Solanum lycopersicum: one gene and its partner. The main gene of each other region encodes a partner of the protein of the gene in region 2 in a complex. Links are inferred from orthologs where the notes say so. Each region holds a gene or a part of one and is shown on either strand. Other genes may lie near its edges.

Evidence for each region. Proteins that work in one complex are often made in the same cells at the same time.
Region 1: large ribosomal subunit protein uL15c (region 2) and large ribosomal subunit protein bL21c share a complex: the UniProt entries of both Arabidopsis thaliana proteins name them as parts of the 50S ribosomal subunit. The link is inferred for Solanum lycopersicum from reciprocal best matches to the Arabidopsis thaliana genes RPL15 and RPL21C.

What each region holds. Positions count from the first base shown.
Region 1 is NC_090805.1:43,261,500-43,265,728, forward strand, and holds the start of large ribosomal subunit protein bL21c, read left to right. Parts: upstream 1-1,391; 5' UTR 1,392-1,514; coding exon 1,515-1,808; intron 1,809-3,263; coding exon 3,264-3,344; intron 3,345-3,734; coding exon 3,735-3,836; intron 3,837-3,928; coding exon 3,929-4,003; intron 4,004-4,229. Other genes in the region: calcium-dependent protein kinase 11, read left to right, coding at 16-156. UniProt on the Arabidopsis thaliana protein: This protein binds to 23S ribosomal RNA in the presence of protein L20.
Region 2 is NC_090804.1:3,795,177-3,799,397, reverse strand, and holds the start of large ribosomal subunit protein uL15c, read left to right. Parts: upstream 1-1,281; 5' UTR 1,282-1,474; coding exon 1,475-1,555; intron 1,556-1,633; coding exon 1,634-1,991; intron 1,992-4,221.

The DNA.
Region 1 (4,229 bases), on a different chromosome or scaffold from region 2:
TCTTCTGTTTGGCAGGATGGACGTATAGATTACGGCGAATTTGCAACAATGATGAAGAAGGGAAATACAGGATTTGCTGCTAGAACAATGAGAGGCAATTTGAATTTTAACTTGGCTGATGCACTTGGAGCAAGTGACAGTGAGAAAAAAGAATAGAAGGTTTCTACTTCTATAATATATCAAAAAATGCATATTATTAGGAAATGTATTATACCAACATTATATTTAGATTGTTTGGTATCTAACTCTCTAATTCTAGCATGATTGTTTACCAGACCAAGCTGATAGAATACGTTGGACCAACCAATAACCAGAGGAGTTCAAGGAGGCTTTCAACCGGACGAGAGGGGTCAAGTAGAGCTGTGTTTGCCAAGACAATGTTGGGCTATTACCAGCATATATTGGTGCTCTATTATTTTGTGATGGTAGATAGATTTAGTGCTATAGTAGCAAAATTTCAGTTGTTGCTACTCTCAGCAACAGCATGCCCAGTATCTTTCCACGAGCGAGATCTGGAGAGGGTGGGATGTAAACAAACGTTACTCCTACTTTTGCTACTTTATCTTATATAATTTGAGGGTTTTTCCTCTAGTTCATAAATTCTAAAATATTACAGTTGTTTGTACCTGAGAAGTGTTGTAAAAACCTTCTTTATGTCTATATTAATTTGATGTTACTGGAAATTGAGTACCTTTTAAGATCATTTTGTCATATATTAAACACTAAAATAAATTTCAGTCTTCTTTTATTTGTGTAATTTTTTTGATTTATTTTTTTTTCCTTCCAATTTTGCGGGCTTGATTTTTAACATAACAAATGGCATTACTTTTGTTCTTATTTTACTCTTCTTACCACGTATTTGTAATCTTACTTCTACGTTTTAAAGATAGAATAATTATTTTTTAAGAGCCTCAAATTAAATAAAACATATCAAAAATAGTACTAGCACTATGAAAATTAAATATAATGTATATGTAATTGCAAAAAGTAGATGGGAGGCTTTACATAACTAACCTCGAGTCAAAATTAAACAATGATGGCTTCAAGAGTAAATGACCTATTATATAATTTAGAATATTTGTTAATCTCTCCATTTCAAAAAGGATGGTCTAGCTTGCCTTGAAACAGAATTTAAGAAGAAAAAAAAATTTTTTAATCTTGTGATTCTAAATTAAAGTTATGTCAAATGTACCAAAATATCCTTTAATCTTGTGGTCTTAAACATGTCACGTGGAAAGTTCAAGTTAAAATATTATGAAAAAAGGAAATGAGTTTTTTGTTTTGAAACAGACTAAAAAAGGAAATAGAGACGTTCTTTTTGAAACGAAGGGAGTATTATGTTACGAGAATATGTAAATTTATACTATTTCTAATACAATTATTTTTAAAAAAATAAATAAAGGATTTCGGGGTAAAATAGTCATTTGGCTACCACTGCAGATAGGATAGGCTTCAACAGATAAAATTGAGAGAGAGACAGAGAATACCCAAAAAAAACCTCTCACTCTCTAACAATGGCAACCCTTTCCCTGTGTTCTACATCTTCCCCCTCAACAGCACTTTCCAAGAACCAAACTTTTCTTAACACCCTTTCTGTTCCCAAAGCAAATTCCAATGTTACTTTTCTATCTCACTCATTTTCCTCTCTCAATCTCCGTTTCTCCAAGCCCAATTCTTTATCCTCTTTTGTACCCAAATACTCAGAATCTGAAGCTCCAGTAGCTGAAGTTGAAGCTGACCAAGAAGAGCCTGTTGTGGAAGCCACTAGCTTGGAACCAAAACGGGAAGAAATCTTTGCTGTTGTTATGGTGACGACTCACTTCCATTCATGTTTAAATTTGTGTAGACATATCTGTTTGTTTTCAATTTCGAAATCAATGTGAGGGTACAATTTAGATTTTTATTGAAAAAATTATGAGGTCCCAAATGAAAATTTGAAAATTCAGCGGAAAATGTTTCAGTTGTCTGTTACCTTGAATTTTTTTCTCGAAGGAAATAGGAAATTGATCTATTCCCTCTAAGGGAATGTTACTTTGTTGTATAGAGATCACAACTTTGGTTCAAGATTGTCATGTGCTCAACCTTTGATATCACAAAAGCAGTCGGAATTTTAATAAGGGGAATTCAAAATTACTCAGACCTATTATTGAAGCAATTTCTCGAATTAACCTTTGCCACTAGAACGAAAACTTCCTTTATGTCAAACGGATTAGAAGTTCCAAAAATTTGTTTTCATGAAGAATGTTCCACCACACCTCACTCACTTAGTTCATATTTCGTGTTTGCTAGTACTGTTGATACATTACTGCTTCCTATGGTGTATGTGGTGAAAATAGGGAGTGTTACAATGAAATTCTTTCGTTCTGTTATTTATACGTCAATGCCATTCTGTGATGCTTAGGTTTAGCATTCTGTTTTAGGGTGTCTTAAAGGAACAATACACATGTCTATATGTTTGTGTCATATTGACTTGGCAGTGGTGGTGGCTATTGGAAATGTTAAAATAGTCCGTGCTAAATAAGCTGAACTGAACTTTTTATATGCTTAGTATTCTCCAGTAGAGTTGGCTGATGTTAACAGAAAACTATAATTATTATGAAGACATGACGAAGATTTAGTACTTGGTATATCCTTACCTGTGTTCTGGACACCATCCAATTTCAAAAATCTCAGTCTATGTTCTCTTTGGTTTTAGTTTAATTTCGTTTTACAAGTGGGCCATCTATTTTCGGTAGGCGTTTCCTCTAGTTAAGTTGCAAAGGGGTTCATATGGCAGATTAGAAGTAATATAACTAATAAATAACTGATAACTATCATTTAGTTCTAACTTTAGGTGTTATACAGTTGTCAGAGGGAATACATATCTACAAGTCCATGCAAACATTTAAGCAAAAGTCTAGTAATTGTTGAAATTTGATTTTGAGGTTGCCATATTCTACACTTTCATCTTTTATTTAATGTGAATTGTGAACTATTGTATTTAACCGGAGAAAACATTCATGTTTACTACTTATTTGATGAATATTTTTTCTTTTCCATGTGGAAAATACTCACTCTTGCGAGGAGATTATAGCTGCTATTTCAATCTGATCATTATTCCTGCTGCTAACAATTTTCAAGTCCTCTAGGTGTCAAATTTTGTGCTTTATTTTGTTCTTTTTTCTTTTTTTCAGATGAATGTGACACTACCCTAATATAACTCTATGGGGCTTGTCTTTAATACGTTAAGCTGTTTGTTCATTTTTGCTCTTTCGCTTTCATAGGTTGGATCTCGGCAATATATTGTTTTTCCTGGGCGGTATATCTACACCCAGAGGCTTAAAGGTGCAAATGTCAATGACAAAGTGAGCATTTTTGGTCTTAATTTACAATTGATTTCCCAAAATCTGGTTACCTCTCTGTGGCTTTGGCTTTAGTTACGTGAGTTGTTTTTCTTTTTCCTTGTCTCGCTATCTCATATCAACATTGTGGTGTCCAATCAAAAAGAACTTGCTTGCAGCAATTTCTCAATTATGTCAAAAGGCATCAATTTCAACCAATAGTGACATTTGCTTGTCCTATTTCTATTATCTTTAATACATTGTCTTCACCAGTTATTTTCCACGGAAGCTAACACTTGATATAAGGGTTATATGTGTATGTCAAGGTTTTCTTGCCATATTGGCAATACTCTTATTTCAAAATTTCCACAATGAGGATCATTGTTGAAGCATCTATACTTGTTGCTTCTGCAGATTATCCTAAACAAGGTGTTACTTGTGGGAACAAAAACAAGTACTTGGGTTGGAAAACCAGTGGTGCCAAATGCAACAGTCCACGCTGTTGTTGAAGAGCAGGTCAGACATCATTCTTCCTCTGCTGTAGTTTCCACTGAGTATATCTTGTTTACTTGACATATCTGTTGGCTCATTATTACATTTCCATGCAGTTGAAAGATAAGAAGGTTATCGTCTTCAAGTATAAGAAGAAAAAGAACTACAGAAGGAATATTGGTCACAGACAGGTATCAAAGAACTGTTTTTAGTGATATCTGAATAACTATAAAGTAGTTTGAACTTTTTTAACCTATCTGTTTGCCCTTAAAGCAAGGCGCACCGTAGTCTATCATAGTTTTAACTATGTCTGCAAATAATTACCATGCAAACATGAAAACTGTCTAAATCAGTGAGCTTACAGCCATGTATGAGACATGCCCCTTAAAATGATATTTGTGCAGAATATCATAACTT
Region 2 (4,221 bases):
ACATGAGTAAAAAGAGATGGAGGTTTGTGTGATTGTCAAATTTGTGTGTATATATATATATATATATATATATATAAAATAGAATACTTATATACATAGATATTTGTATTATAATATTAACACTCGTTGAAAATGGTGATTTACAAATACAAATATATCTGGATACATAAGTAATTTATCCAATTTACAAGATTGATTAGGCAATACAAGTACAATTGGATACATTAATACTATATTTTTATAAATACCTAAGTTAACACCAAGCTTCATGTATTACAGGATCACTTACCAAAAAGAGATTGGCAATTGTTATTTATCAATTTTTTATACAGGCGAATTCTTATATACTTTGATACCGACACATTCTATTATTTTCTATTTTTTTGTTTCTACGTTGTCCAATTTATCCATCTTTGATTTAGTAACACAATGTATTCATATGTATACTATATTGCATTCATTTTTTGAACAACAATAATGTATTCATTTTTCAAATAGCCGTGTTCATATGCTAATTGTCATACTTTAACTTGTTTGATATATATATTGATACATTAAATTCTTACAAAAACTTGTATCATTGATATATATATATATATATATATATATATATATATATATATACACTTTACGTTTTATAAATATAGATACTAATTTGAATTCAAAGTATTCATATACTAACTGTACACAATTAATACATTTTCCTTATTTAGTTTGTTGTAATTAAACTTGTATTACTGTATAAATAGAAAAATAATAATATTTAAAGAATTAATACAGCTAGAAAAAGATATAAATTGTATTCATTTTTTATAAATAACATACTTGTAGCTATTGAACTTTGATAAATCCTATAAATGTAGTCATTTTTATAATTTGCTGATTAATGAATGTATACAGAAATTTGGGCGGAGTAAGACAGGATTAAGGAGATTCTTTTAAATTTTCTTAAGCAGAACATTATAAGAGTAATCCTCATCGGAGTATAGCATGACGAAAGAGGAAGAAAAGAAAGATTACTATCTAAAAAAGAAGTTGACGAATTACTAATAACCCTCGTATAGAATTTATCAATGACTAAGTAATCAAACATGTTAGTAATTAATATGACTTGTAGCGAGCGTTTAGATCTCTCTTTCTTAATCATATGTTTCAAATTCAATCCCATAAATGAAAAAAATCAGTTAGGAAAGTCCCCTCTAAAAATGTGCCCAGTCGTGTGTGAATTCAAATTTTATTTAAGCCTATTACTAATATCAAACATCATGTTGGAAGCAAAAAAGACCACGATCCTCAAAATGAAGTGTAATACACACATATCGAATTAAATATCGAACACCTGATAATAGACTCGTAAACTAATTTAAAAAGTAGAAAAGAAAGTCCCTGAAATAACCACCCCTATCCGTTAAAATTTGTCAAAACACTTTTTGCTTGGACAGTGAACACAATCCTGAGTTCTCCCTTATCAACAATGGCGTCTCTACTCTCCATCTCCTCTGCATCACCTACAAGAACAAATTCAATCATTACCCAGTTTTCTTCATCATTCAAGGTACAATTTCTCCTCTTTAATTTTTCAATTTCTGTCAAAATTATACAATTCTCATTTATCCCCATCAATTTTTTTCAGGGTAATGTAAGTAATTTGAAGTCAAGTTCGAAGCTTTTGCCTTTAATAAAGGTCTGCAATTTGAAATCTAAGTCAATAACAAGAACCCCATTTGTTGTTTTCAACCAAACTGCAAGTTTTGGTGCTGATTCTGCAACTGGGAGTGTTCGTTTTCGGCTTAATAACTTGGGTCCTCAACCTGGGGCTACCAAGAATAGGAAGAGGAAAGGTAGAGGGCATTCAGCTGGACAAGGGGGTAGTTGTGGTTTTGGTATGAGAGGTCAAAAATCAAGGTCTGGACCTGGAGTTAGAAAGGGGTTTGAAGGGGGTCAAATGCCTCTCTATAGGAGACTTCCTAAGTTGAGAGGAATTGCTGGAGGTAATTTGTTAACATTGCTTCAACATAATTATATTATCACAGGGGTCGTTTGGTACAAGGGATAAGAGATAATAATCTCGGGATAAAATGTTGGATTGCCTTTGGTTAGGGGTATTAGTTAGTCCCTGAATATCTATCTTGTCATTTTTATAAGATAATGATAGGATAAGTTATCTCATATATATATGGCGGGATAACTAATTCCTCGGGATATACTAATCAATGGGATAACTTTGTCTATCTCATCCCTAGTACCAAATGACCCCTTAGTTTGAGTTGGATTTTGTTTTTCCTTGTTTTGTTGTTTGTTTCTGTGTCCATCTGCAGTGTTATAGTTTACCATTTAAAAGTCTATGGATAAGTGTTATAAAATTTATAGCTTTAACTTGACTATGTGTTCTTTTTTATATTTGTGTTCGGGGCACCTTGCATGCAGTAGTGTTGTCAAAGCTGTGCATAAGCGAGGTTCAAAATGTGTTGAGCGCTTTGTCTTGCTTAATGTGCTCTTCAGGGTCGTCATCAAGTTTCTTAGGCATTCTTTTGAGTCTCTTTAGGCAACACTAAACAATTGATATTTCACTTAATAGTAAAAAAAATAATTTCTTTGTTCATATATTTGTCATTCATGCTTACAATTATTATTCTTAGACTAAACAAACATATGTATTTGTATTTCTCCCTTTGCTCCTTTTTATATTAAAGATCATGCTTTATTCACGTTTTATGCTTAGTCCCAATGGTCCTCAGAGTTTTTTTGATTTGATAACACTGTCATGTACTTAATTCCACGGGTACCTGCTTCTTCCTGCCAACACTTGTGTTGGATATTCCTTTGCTACTTCATTCCTCAACTAATGGAATACAAACTCTTTTTTCTGCCCTGCCTGGTGTCATCCATCTCCAAATAGTAAATGCGCTGCTGAGCGGATAACTCTATCCAGAAAGGCTTGGATAAATGAATATTGAACAGGAGACATTATGGTTCTCAACCAACTCCATTAACAACTACGCCACTCACTTGGGTGCACTGTGTGTATCTTTGTTTACAAGCATGTTTGTTTTTCTTTTGGTTGTGTCATTGCAGAGGCAGATTTTCATAGGATGATAAAAAGTCTTATCTGCATCTGGTGGACATATGTGTATGCATACTCAAACTGTACTGATGATTAATCTAAAGAAATTTATTACAAATGATCAATATATTGCACTAAGAAATAAAGCTATGCATAGTTATATGACATCAAGGCAAATATCTTGAAATTCTTATTTTCTTATTTGCAATATTCTGAAATCCTCAACATTTTTATCTTCCTCTATAATCCGAAGACTGTTACCCCCTTATTTAAACTAAAAGGAAAGCCTTGATCGATATGAGAGAAATGTGCTCAAGCATCCAACCAGGTGTAACGTCTGTCAAGAAGTTTCTTACTGCAAAATGAACATTCTAGGAGCTCTCACTCGAACAAATGCTCCTTATGCCATCATAAACCGAATCAGCGGATATAAAATCTGTCCTTTCCTAACCTTCCCCTAGCAGGAAACTTATTTTAAAAGGAGGAGGATTTGGAAAGTTCATACTAAGGAGGTAAAAAGGCCCTCGAGTCAAAGGGCTATTCTTCCTTTGATTTGAAGAGAATGTCAGTGCCTTGACTCTCTAGTCTCAGTGTGGCTCTTGAGTAGTCTTCACTTTCCCTTATGCATGGCGTTTGATTAAGTATTTTCTTCAATGTCAAGTTGTTGGTATTACTAAGATGATTCATAACTGTCCTTTATTTTTGGCGTAACTTGTATCCATTCGCATTATATAATGCTGAACCTTGATACTCACACCTAGAGTTGTGTGTCAAAAAATAAGTTCTTACTTTTCTTAGGCCTTTCATACTGATTAGGCCTTGCCATGTCTAATTTTTATAACTTTGACTATTTTAGGCTATTCTAACTTAATAACTGAAGTAATTGATAGTGCTCTTTGTAAAACCTCCAATCTCGTCTTTTAATTTGTTTCATTATGTGTTTTGTTGATTTAGTTAAGGATTTCCCTCAAGTCAGGCTAATCTGTCAAAAGCAATTATCTACTACATGTTTACCACCTTTGCCACCCGTTCCTTGTATACTCAATATTGCTGACTATCAATTTCATTGACCGGTTAATGCATGAAATATAAATAAAGGACCATATTGATTAGCAGAAGTTTCTGAAGGGACAAACTTGTAAGATGAAGTTCACTTT